Oryzias latipes: one gene and its partners. The protein of the gene in region 1 interacts with the protein of each later gene in a biochemical or structural test. Links are inferred from orthologs where the notes say so. Each region holds a gene or a part of one and is shown on either strand. Other genes may lie near its edges.

Evidence for each region.
Region 2: the proteins of e2f1 (region 1) and rbl1 form a complex in vitro, tested with the Homo sapiens proteins (2 studies listed by BioGRID). The link is inferred for Oryzias latipes from reciprocal best matches to the Homo sapiens genes E2F1 and RBL1.
Region 3: the proteins of e2f1 (region 1) and phb form a complex in vitro, tested with the Homo sapiens proteins (2 studies listed by BioGRID). The link is inferred for Oryzias latipes from reciprocal best matches to the Homo sapiens genes E2F1 and PHB1.

Annotation. Positions count from the first base shown.
Region 1 is NC_019865.2:2,000,288-2,004,041, forward strand, and holds the start of e2f1 (transcription factor E2F1), read right to left. Parts: upstream 2,750-3,754; 5' UTR 1,841-2,749; intron 1,751-1,840; 5' UTR 1,545-1,750; coding exon 1,293-1,544; intron 1,205-1,292; coding exon 1,105-1,204; intron 1-1,104. Other genes in the region: znf341 (zinc finger protein 341), read left to right, coding at 3,261-3,291, 3,749-3,754. UniProt on the Homo sapiens protein: Transcription activator that binds DNA cooperatively with DP proteins through the E2 recognition site, 5'-TTTC[CG]CGC-3' found in the promoter region of a number of genes whose products are involved in cell cycle regulation or in DNA replication.
Region 2 is NC_019863.2:32,787,054-32,790,807, forward strand, and holds the start of rbl1 (retinoblastoma-like protein 1), read right to left. Parts: upstream 2,640-3,754; 5' UTR 2,530-2,639; coding exon 2,368-2,529; intron 805-2,367; coding exon 671-804; intron 545-670; coding exon 341-544; intron 1-340. UniProt on the Homo sapiens protein: Key regulator of entry into cell division. Directly involved in heterochromatin formation by maintaining overall chromatin structure and, in particular, that of constitutive heterochromatin by stabilizing histone methylation.
Region 3 is NC_019866.2:5,517,781-5,521,534, forward strand, and holds the start of phb (prohibitin), read right to left. Parts: upstream 2,580-3,754; 5' UTR 2,541-2,579; coding exon 2,466-2,540; intron 1,954-2,465; coding exon 1,860-1,953; intron 242-1,859; coding exon 80-241; intron 1-79. Other genes in the region: uncharacterized protein LOC105354523, read left to right, coding at 3,485-3,526.

The DNA of each region.
Region 1 (3,754 bases):
AAAACACGCCGCCTTAAACCTCCTCCACAAACAAAACACACATCCAGGTGGAAAACAGGTGATCCTCCGACTCCAGCTGTGAAGACGTTCCAGCGGCACAGGCAGGCCTCGTTTGGACCACGCCATCGAAACTTTTATTTTCTTTAAGGTAATATTTATAACCAGCCTTTAAAGAAACTCCAAGCCCCGCCCTCTCTGACGTGGCCACGGGACCTGGATTTCGGAGCCACGGCGGGTCTTTTGGTGGTTTAAAAATAGAAATCCACCGATGAAGATTCTGCTGAAGGAAACATCTTAGAACTGAACGGTCAAATGTGGATTTCAGTGATAAAAAAACAAAAGGAACTGAGGCTCAGCCTTCAGCAGAAATTCTCCTTCAACTTCTCATCCCAACGGCCCCAAACGTCTGCGGACGGAAACGCTTCACGCAGCATGTGGACGCCATGATGTCATGAGTCAGTCTGAGCGTTACGCAATCCAAAAGATGTAAAATGATTGGTGGTCCTGTTCAAAAACACAGGACCTGGACTGCTCTATCCTGCATTAAATTAGGATTTAGATAGTAAAGAATTCATTAAACACAGTTTCTGACTCATGAAAATGTGAAATAGGAGGATTTTATAGTATTTTACGCACCGGGTCCTCCTAAGACCCGGTCCTTTTGAAAAACCGCTGGACCTGGACTCATTTTTATTTAATCATTTTAAAGTTTTTGTGGCTTTCCTGCTCGCAGCGCTCTGTTGTTTGGGATTCTGTTGCCTCCCCTCTTGTGAATTCGTGTCGTCTGCCTGCAATGCAGCTCACCAAACGACGGCAGACTAAAAATAGATCATTTTAAATTGATCAACTACATAAAATCATCCCATTTCAATGTTCATAAATCAGAAGCTGTGTTTAATGAATTCTTTACTATCTAAATCCTAATTTTAATCCAGGTTTGAGCAGCCCAGGTCCTGTGGTTTCTGAAAAGGACCTGGTCTAAGGTGGTCTTAGGGTGAAAAATGCAGTGGAATGTTCCTTTAGTGCCCCCGCTAACCGGACGCCAGCTTCAGCGCCGTGAAAGGATGCCGAGTCGGCGCTCCTGCTCCTGAGCGTGCGGCGTACCTCTGGGAGGAGCAGGAGTAGAAGGAGGTGCTTGGCTGGCGGAGGATCGGGTGGTGCTGACATACTGGTGGTCGCTATCCAGGTCCAGCTTCCTCTTCACCTAATCATCAAATGAAGAGGAATCGATTATGTGAACCCCGGCGTGTGATGATGTGGCGGCGGCGGCCGCCTTGAAGCCACGCCCTCACCGGAGGTCTTCCCAGAGCCGGCCTCCTCCTGTCCTGGCCCCCCGCGTCGGCGTGGCTCTGCGGCGTGGCGAATAGCAGGATTTCCCCCGTGCTGCTGGGGGCGGCCAGCGGGTGGAGTCCCTCATTGCTGGGGCTGGTGATGATGACGATCTGGTGGTCCTGGCTCAGATCGATGCTCCCGGAGTTCAGCAGAGTCTCAAAGTCCTTCAGCAGATCCTCGGATGTCTGACCCGTTATCAGAGTCTCTGACATGGCACTGCCTGCCGCCCAAAGGGCTCCTGCAGCAGACTGGGGGAATGCCAGGGAGGGTGGGGGCACCAACTGGGGTATCAAAACAGGCTCAGCACCAGGTGACCCCAAACATGTTAGGAGGACTTGAGGAGAAAATGCTGATCCATTAACCTCTCCTCCTCCTCCTCCTCCTCCTGCTGAAGGTTGACCTACAGCGAGCCTGAAATCTGCAGATCAACCACAGAGGAGTCGAAGGTTCAAACGTCAAGGCGAGACGTGGAGCCCAAACAGGAAACGACCCGCTGAGCGCATCCTACTTTAGGCTCACGCGCTGCTCGGCTCGCGCGCCGTTTTCAGCGGAAATAAAAGAAGGTCAAAAGACGAAGTAGAAGAAGAAACCCGCCGTAAATTGAGATCATGAGCGAGCTAGCCTGCTAGTCTTTCGTTTTCCTGTCAGAGGCCTCGCCACTCCGTCCTCAAACACAGAGCTACCAAGCTAACGAACTAGCTTACCACAAGAAAAGACTACAACAACTTTGCTAATAAACACGAACAACAGCAGAGGACTACATTTACCACCACTACCTAAAAGTTTATCTCCTTTTCCCTACGATATGGCTTCATTAACGGGTTCGGAAAACTTTATAGACGCTCACAGAACTGGGCTATCTAAGCAATAAAAAAAATACACATTCACTCGGCGGAGGCATCATGATCGCAGATCCACACCATCTTTGAGAAAATAGTTCCCAAAAGAAAGCAACCATCCGTCCGGGCGACGGCGACGACAGAGAGTTTAGCGCGGAAATACGGGGAACTTTAGCATGCTAGCTTCAGGGATTAGCTGCAGTTCTTCGGTCCCCCTCGTACTGTTGGGGCACGCAGGAAGCACTCGGAGAAACGCGGGAGATGCAGACAAAACGGAGGAAATACTCGCTCAAACGTTAAAAAATGTGCCGATGCTCCTTCGTCTGCTCGCCGAAGATCGGGTCCATCTGTAAACGAGCCGCGCCGACCCCATTAGCAGCCGTCATTGTTGTTGTCCCAGCTGATCTATATCTAAACAAGGCTGGACGGTTTTCGCGCGAAATCCTTTTTGCCGCGAAACTGGCACGTGGGGAAAAGCGACCGCTGGGATTGGCCAGTGGGATTCGTTTTGCGCGTGACGCGATTGGTGTCTTCCGATTGGTGGAAATGGCCGTCTGTCACGTTACAGAGCATGGGGAAAACTGGCCTTCCATGTGACCAGGTTGGTGTTCTCTGATTGGCGGAGATGGCCGTCTGTGACTCTCCAGAGCACAGATTTGCTGATTGGGAGGTGCATTCACGTTCCACGGACAAAAGGCTTCTTAACTGCTTTGTTTAGGAAATTTTAAACAAAATAGTAAAACACGTAGTGTCAGTTTCATGTAAGGTTTCCCAAAACTAAAAGATAAACTCCTTTACCATATTAAATATATGATGTAACAGTCTTTGCGTCCCAGCTTAAAAAAGTTACGTTTTTTCAATGTAGTCCCTAGCGCTCCCTCTCCGTTTAAGCAATCAGATTAACAAAAAATAAAGTTAAATCTGATTGCTTAGGAACTTTCTAAACTAGAGTTTTCTGGGGGTCTGAACCAAATGTGATAAGTTTTTTTCTATTTGCAAATATTAATGTAAGCATTTCATTGGGGGGTCTGCACCTAAAGTAACAGACCCTACCAATCGATCACCGATGGTAAACAGGAGCGCTGTAAGATGGCGCAGACAATATTCGAGGCGCTGGAAGGTACAAATATAGTCTTATTTACCGCGCAATTATTAAATATGTTATATGCCAAAGAAAACCACATCATGTAAATTAACTGGAGACTTGTTTGAACACTAAATCACCCTTTAAACGGGTATTATGTAGGCTGTAAGCACCCTGAACTGAAGGGTTCTGCCTGATCTGATGATGATGATTGTAAACAACCTGATTATATTTTAAAGATTAAGACTGTACTGCTATAAACGGCTTTTTTTGTAAATGTAATATTAATTATTTCTGTAATATAATAACTCATCTCGTATGTCAGTGTAAAAGCTGTACATGTGACAATAAAAGCTATTCATTAATATGTGAACATGCACTCCTCGCGTTATTGTTTCTGTCACTTTCATGGAGAAGCAGATCTTCTTCTAACATGTTGTAAAAAGAAAAGCTGTTACTGATGTTAAATCCCTGTTTCCCTCCATCCCCTCAGGCATGG
Region 2 (3,754 bases), on another chromosome or scaffold:
GAAAACTCCACATCTGCTGAAAGCTGCTGTCGGTGCAAACATGCAGCAGCGTCTCTGACGTGGAGGTCAGAGTTCAAGCTGTGTCTGCAGTAGAGATGGAGCTGCAACGGATCCCAACACTCACGGTTTGGATCATGTCTCAGATCAGTAAAAAGGATGAAACATCAAGACAAAAGCCTAAAATGTATTTGTTTTTGTCAAAACCTTTGCTCGGGTTTTATTTGAACTCAAGATATTCCAACAAGACGCAATGCACCATGTGTGTATGTGTGTATATATAGTATACTGTGGACATGTATATAGTATACACCGTCATGCCTGAGGCGCGCCGGCGTCCCACCTGTGCTTCCTGCTGCGGGGCTGCCGGGGGGGCTCGCTGCCCTGTGGGTTCTGGAACATGTCCATGAAGATGGGCTCGAACTTGCGGAAGATCACGGTGGACACCTCAAAGTTTCGCTCCAGCCGGTCCATCCTCAGCCGGAAGTCTTGTGACAGGTTTGACATGTCGGCCCACTTCCTCATCTTAGAGAAGAACTGGATCAGGCTGGGAGGGGGGCCGACAACAAACGGGACCAAACATGAAGACGCAAATCCCAAAGTTGCACAGGCGGATCCCGTTTGACCGGGACTGGCTGTAAAATCCAGCAGAAGCTGCAGAGCAGAACCTGACCTGAGCTTGGAGCAGCGCAGGATCCGGGTCAGGGACACACAGTTGCCCTCCATCAGCCCCTTCCCCACAGTGGGGGTGGACCCCTTCCTGCAGGCGGCGTACAGAGAACAGGCCAGCCAGTGGACCACCTCCCCCTGCAGGAACACAACGGCACATTTCTGCATCGTCCAGCTCTGCCCACCCACCGGTGCCCGAGTGCCCTTGGGCCTGTTAGCGTCTGGCATGGCAGCTGTGCCTCCATTGGTGCGTGAATGAAATGATTGGTAAAGGTTCAGGTTCTTCTGAACAAAACCCTGTGCTAAACCCTCAGGAACAGCTAGTAGATGAAACATGAACACGTTCAGCATTCAGTCACATTTCAGTAAAATACTGCGTTTTATTTCATTCTTTTCATTTTGCTCAAAATAGACTTTACATCTTTAACCATATGAATTCATAATGAGGTGTAACAGCTGTTTTATGGAGACAACAACAGAGATAAACGATTTCCTAACGTTCACTCGTCTAGTTAAAATAACGCATCAACATAAAATCCAGTTATTACAACTAAATGTACAACATTTGGATCCGTTTGGAACCAAATATGCTACAAAAATGCTGAATTTATTCACCAGAGTGACGTCATTTTTCTACATTTAAAGAAACATTGAATCATGTGAAGAATTTCAGGCATCTCCATCTTCAACGCCATCGTGTTAAACAGCAGCAGGAGCGCACAGAACAAATCCACCATCTCAACCCTGAGATCAAACAAATCCATAAAAAATCATCAAATAAAAACAACTAAACTCATTTCCTCCAAATGGCCCATTCACTGTAACCTTTTCCTGTTTTTAAATATTTTTATTATTTGTATTTATTTAAATTGCTGTTTTAACTGTTTATTATATTTTATATAAGTACATATGATGTACAGCAACCTTGAGTGCTCAGAAAGGCGCCATCTAAATAAAATGTGTGATTATTATTACTGTATATTAATCAAAGAGCTAAAACAAATCTAGTAAAGTTTTGGACGTTTCTGTTCTTTGGGTCACTTTTCTAGACAGCAACAGATAAATGAACAGAGTCCCTTTTAAAGCCACATCAAATCAAAAATCCAGATATTAGACGCCTTTGATTACAAATCCTCCTTTATGCAGGTGAGTCGTGCTGTGTTCACTGCCCTGTTCAATCAGTAGGAATTTATAATTCTCTTTACGCCCCTCAAATACTGTTTTCTTGCTAATATTTTCTTAGTTTTTGCTAAAAAAATAAGGACTTCATATTTAAAAATTCAGTGCATCCACCTCCATGTTGTAGATAATAAATACACCTTCCGTTTATTGCCATCTATTTATTGCCATTAGTTACCAGGTAAACCTAAAGACGAGGCTCCTCTTCCCGTCACCTGCAGCATCTCGCTGTGACGTTGATTCAACAACGGACGTAAACAACAATCCTATGACTCAAATCAACACCTGGATGTTTTAACTCAGTCTCACAAATAAGCCTCATTTCAGTGTTTCTGTGTGTAAACACAAAAATCTCCGGTAAGCTTCAGGAAAACTCACGTCACAGCATCATGTATTAATGTATATCATGACCGGAGGTCGCAGAGCAGAAGCGCTCGTTGGCTCATAGCGGGTCAGTCTACAGCGCCCCCGGGAGACTCTAACCCCCCCCCGAACCGAACCGAACCGAAGCCAGTCGTTTACCTCCAGAGTGTATGTGTTCCATATGGAGGTGAAGTTGTCCATGGCCTCACTGGCTGTCTGCTCGTCCATGTTGAGCTCCTGACACAGCACCTCCAAACTCCTCCGGACCGAACTCTCCTCCATCCTCCCCGACTCAGAATCCGAAGACTCCTCCCCTCTCATCCACAGAACCAGCGCTGCCCGTCCGCGCAGCTCGAATCCGACCCACAGAACCAAACAACGGCGGAGCCGAGCTCTCACCACAACAACACGGTTCCCGTCGCTTCCGCTAACAGCTCCCAGCATGCAGTGCGGTGGCGCGAAAACTTTACCCTTCTGACCAATCAGAGGCGAGAAACCTACGCCCCCCTCTCCCCCTTTCTTATGTACCGGATGTCAACTTTTTTTTCTAAAACTTTATAAAAAACAAAAGCACGAACACATTGAAGGCAAAAACTTCTCTGGCCACTAGGAGGCAGGGACATTAGTTATCATTATCGGTTATTATTACTGGTTATTATTATTGTTAATTATTATTGGTTATTATTATCGGTTATTATTATTGGTTATTATTATTGTTAATTATTATTGGTTATTATTATCGGTTATTATTATTGGTTATTATTATTGGTTCTTACTACTGGTTGTTATTATTGGTTACTACAATTGGTCATTATTATTTGTTATTTTTATCGGTTATTATTATTGGTTATTATTATTGTTAATTATTATTGGTTATTATTATCGGTTATTATTATTGGTTATTATTATTAGTAATTATTATTGGTAATTATTATTGGTTATTATTATTAGTAATTATTATTGGTTATTATTATTGTTAATTATTATTGGTTATTATTATCGGTTATTATTATTGGTTATTATTATTAGTAATTATTATTGGTAATTATTATTGGTTATTATTATTAGTAATTATTATTGGTAATTATTATTGGTTATTATTATTGGTAGTTACTATTGGTTATTACTCCCTCCCTACATTTGTTCCTTAATCACAAGGAGAAGTGTGGAATCTCACTCCTCTGATCCTTAGACGGTTGTTTCTGTTCCATTTGCTGCACAGAGCTGGGAAAAAGCCTTAGTCCACTCTGCTCCTCCTGCTTGGAAAATGCTGCAGAAAGACTGGAAACTAACTGAACTGGTATCTTTAAATGTTTTTAAGAACAAGCTCAAAGCATCAGAGACTGAAACAATAATGTGCAACTGCTTCTCATGATGTATGTGGTTTTAATGATGTTTGTTTTTATGTATTTTTTTGTATTGAAATGTGCCTCTGGACCAAGACTCCCTTGAAAAAAAGATCTTGTCTCAATAGGACTACCTGGTAGAATAAAGGTAAAGTAAAAACCTCTGGAAAAGTAATAATAAAAAGAAACATTCAAAAATC
Region 3 (3,754 bases), on another chromosome or scaffold:
TTACGTTGACTTAACATTAAAACTGGGTCAATTGCATTCAGTGTGAACACAACATGACAAATTAAACAAGAACTTGTACCTTTGCTGCCTGTGATGACGGGCACATTGCGTGGACGTGAGCGGCAATCAAAGATGACCGGCTTCTGAACCCAGGGAATGAGAAAGTGAGTTCCTTCTCCAACCACAATGTCCTGCACTCCTCTGAACCGGTCAAATATTACAGCCCGGTGCCCTGCATCAACTACAAACAAACCAACAGTCAGTCATTTCAAACATGATTACATTTTAGCAGGAAGGGCTCCTTTTAGTTTTAGACAAAGAACTGCTATTAGAGGCCAATATATGGTCAGAATTATGCACTGGTAGATTATCAGTGCATATTATAAGTTTAATACACAATGTTGACAAAATTTAATTAACAGAATAATTATGACTAAACAAAGAACACATTTTTATAATGCAAAAACAAAATAGATGGATTTATTTCAAATAAGGACAATTCAATAATTGAAGGTGGTCATCCTGGCTAAAGAAAGTAAAACTTTTGTGATATTTAGATGGTCCTCAGTAACTCTGTGGTTCAAAGTCATCCTTTTGACCCAGTGGAGACCTCAGTGTTTTGTAAATAAAGCTGAATTTGTGACAATCAAAGATGTAAAATTGACTATGACATTAATTAGGACAAATATGTTATATCGGTTGCTGGAGTGAGCTTTTTCCACGTAAGGCTACTTTAAAGAATAAGCCCTTTAAAGCTTTCTTAGACTTTGCAGGCGTTTACTAGCACTTGTTTATACTGTTGTGATGCTCTATAATGGGTGTTAGTCATGACACTTTTTTACCTGCAGTGGGACTAAACATTTGTTTGCTTGATGTGTCATTGAATCCCTTAAACAAAGCCACATCTCCACTTTTCTAGCCCGACTTCCAGTTAGTCTTTGGATTGACCTAAAGATTGTATTTGTTTCTAAAGCTATTAAAGGGTTAGGTGGTTTAAGGTGCCAGCATCCAGCGATTACTTACTTTTAGTTCCTCTTAAATTTCAGCTTAAGATTAGCAGAGATTTAGCTTTCTTAGCAACAGTGTCAGAGATGCAGATTCAACCTTGGCTGCATTTAAGTCTGCATTAGAAAACTACTTTTTTACTAAAATAAGAATAAAAACATTAGATAAAACCAATTTAAGAATTTGTATAGTGTGAAAAAAAATTTGTTTCCTCTCCAGTGTAAAGAAACAAGCACTATCATATGTTTTTTTTTTTTAGTATTTTAAAGGTTTAATGATTTTTCTATAGTTTTCTGTTTATTGTAAATCTATAATTAAATATAACTAAAACAAAGATTAAGAAATTATTAATAAATGTAAAGGAATTAGTCATGGACCTTTCAAACAGAAACAATGGGCCTATGTGGACCTACTGCTTACAAAGCTTCTCATTAAGTTTTGTATTTTTCAAGTATTTTTTTAAAGATCATTAATGCAATACATTTATGTCCCCTTCACAGGTCAACAGTGCAGCATGGTGTTAATGCAACATCCTCCACCGGTGTCAGTCAAGTAAACAATAAACATTTTCCTTAATTATGTCATTTTAAATATGAGTTATTGTGGAGAGACTGCATAAAACCCATTGTGTTATTCTGGAGTTATTTTTTTACATGGGGCTACAAAGTTAACAATAACTTGTTTCTAGTGTCAATACCATATTGGCGGGATTTAATGGGTTTAAACAAGTAACCAGGGATTTCAAACTCCTAAAAACAAAAGACAACAAGCAAATTGAGAGCTATTTTACCAATATAGAGTGAACCAGAACCCTCTTTCTTTAAATGACTCGTTTTTTTCTTTTTTAGACTCACCATTATAAAGTGCAGAATTCACAACGCCTCCTCCAATGGCGAGAGCCAGACCCAACTTTCCAATGGACTCAAATAATTTAGCCATGGCAGAAACCTGGAAGCGATGAAAACGAGGTCATCACACACGTTAACAAGAAAACAACTTCAGTACAGACTAACACAAGTCATCCAAGCCTTAACTGTCAGTAGAAAGTGGGTGTTTTAATAGTTTCTATCCAGTAACGGTTGCGTATGTGGCCTTGAATGATGTCAAAGCGGCAGAGATGGTGGCTAGGGTTAGCTCAGAAGCTAACATGAGTTTCGCAGTGATCGGTTCAGCGTATGGTTGCAACAGATAAAATTGAGTTTGGCACGTTAATGTTTACATAAAAGTGCGGCAAAAAGGCTTTTATCAAACAATCTAGTGGTGCCTCAGTACGCAAGCTAGCTTACGTTGGGCATGCATGATGGATTTGAGCAGGGCTGTTCCGTCTACCAAACATGTTTATTTATAAAAGCTATGCTTGAAACAACTCCGTAGCACTGCCTAAAAATGTGCAAAGTAATGTTTAGGGAAAAATCTCAAAAGTTGTCCGAGGCTTAATCGTGCTGTATCACATAACTCACCTTAGCTTTCTTGGATGCCTGTGACCTCCACCGGACACGACGTAGAGCACAAGGGATGCCTGTTCTACGGCGCATGCGCAAGAATGTTGCAACAAAGCCGCTGATTGGACAAAAACATGTCAATCTTCTTCTACGAATCTTCAATGCTGGTAGACTGTTAGTGGAAACATACTGACAGCGTCACCTACTGGTATATTTAAACTTAACAGTACAACAATACTAGAGGGAACAATGGATGGATGGATGGATGGCAATAAATGTACTTCCTCAAATCCTTAAACATTTCAAGTTAGGAATGGAAGTATAATTAAGTTATACAGCATTAATAAGGGAAAATTAGTTAAAATAAATCTAAATATAGTTAACGTTCATTATCATTTATTGTCACATGATACTTGTGTCAAATAACATTTTAGCCAATTAAAAAAATTTAAACATTTAAGAAAATGCATGTACAGTTGTTCAGAAAAGCATCATATGAGCACACCCCATTAAGAACTGATACAGACTCAAGACTTTCTACATTTTGACACAAGTGTATTTCTTGTTTAAATTTTTCTCCAAAGCTTTAACTTTCAATATTTAAAATGTTTCAAAACCTTTTTAAAATCGTGAAACATTGTTTTAAAAGTTTGGTTGCCATACTGACTATTACAATATTGTTTGAGTAAAAGGAAGTTTTTTTATGTTTTATTACCAACACAAAAGTTTTAAGAAAGTGTAATAAGACAAAGTCCAGCAAAACAATATCATATTTATTTAAAAAATATATTGTTTATAGCCAGCCTATTGTAAAATTAAATAATAAATGAACTCACACATTTTCTTTTTTTTATCTCCCTGGGACGTTCATTGAAACGTCGAAGTCACTTGCACACACACACAAACAAACACACACACACACGTTCATATAGCCTTGTGTCGCCCCCTATCGGACAAAAACGGCACTGCACGTAATCAGTTTCACTTTCCTTACGGCGTAAGGCTTACGCTGTGAGGAAAAGAATGACCATCTTTAAATGTTAGCGAAAGAAGACTACCGATCGTGGAGCATTTGTAAGGTCGGTAACGAAAGCATCTCATTGAAATTCACGGTTCATTTCTTCACCTTTTTTTTTTTGGTCGCTGGTTTTGCGACAGACGACGATCGTTTTGATTTATTTACTTCCTTAACTCTCGACCCTGCAGCAGACAGTATGACTTCCTCTGTCGTTTTTCCTACACGATCGTGCAGTTTTGTATTAAAACTTTTACTGGAAAGTAGAAAAGGGTATATATCTAAACATTTG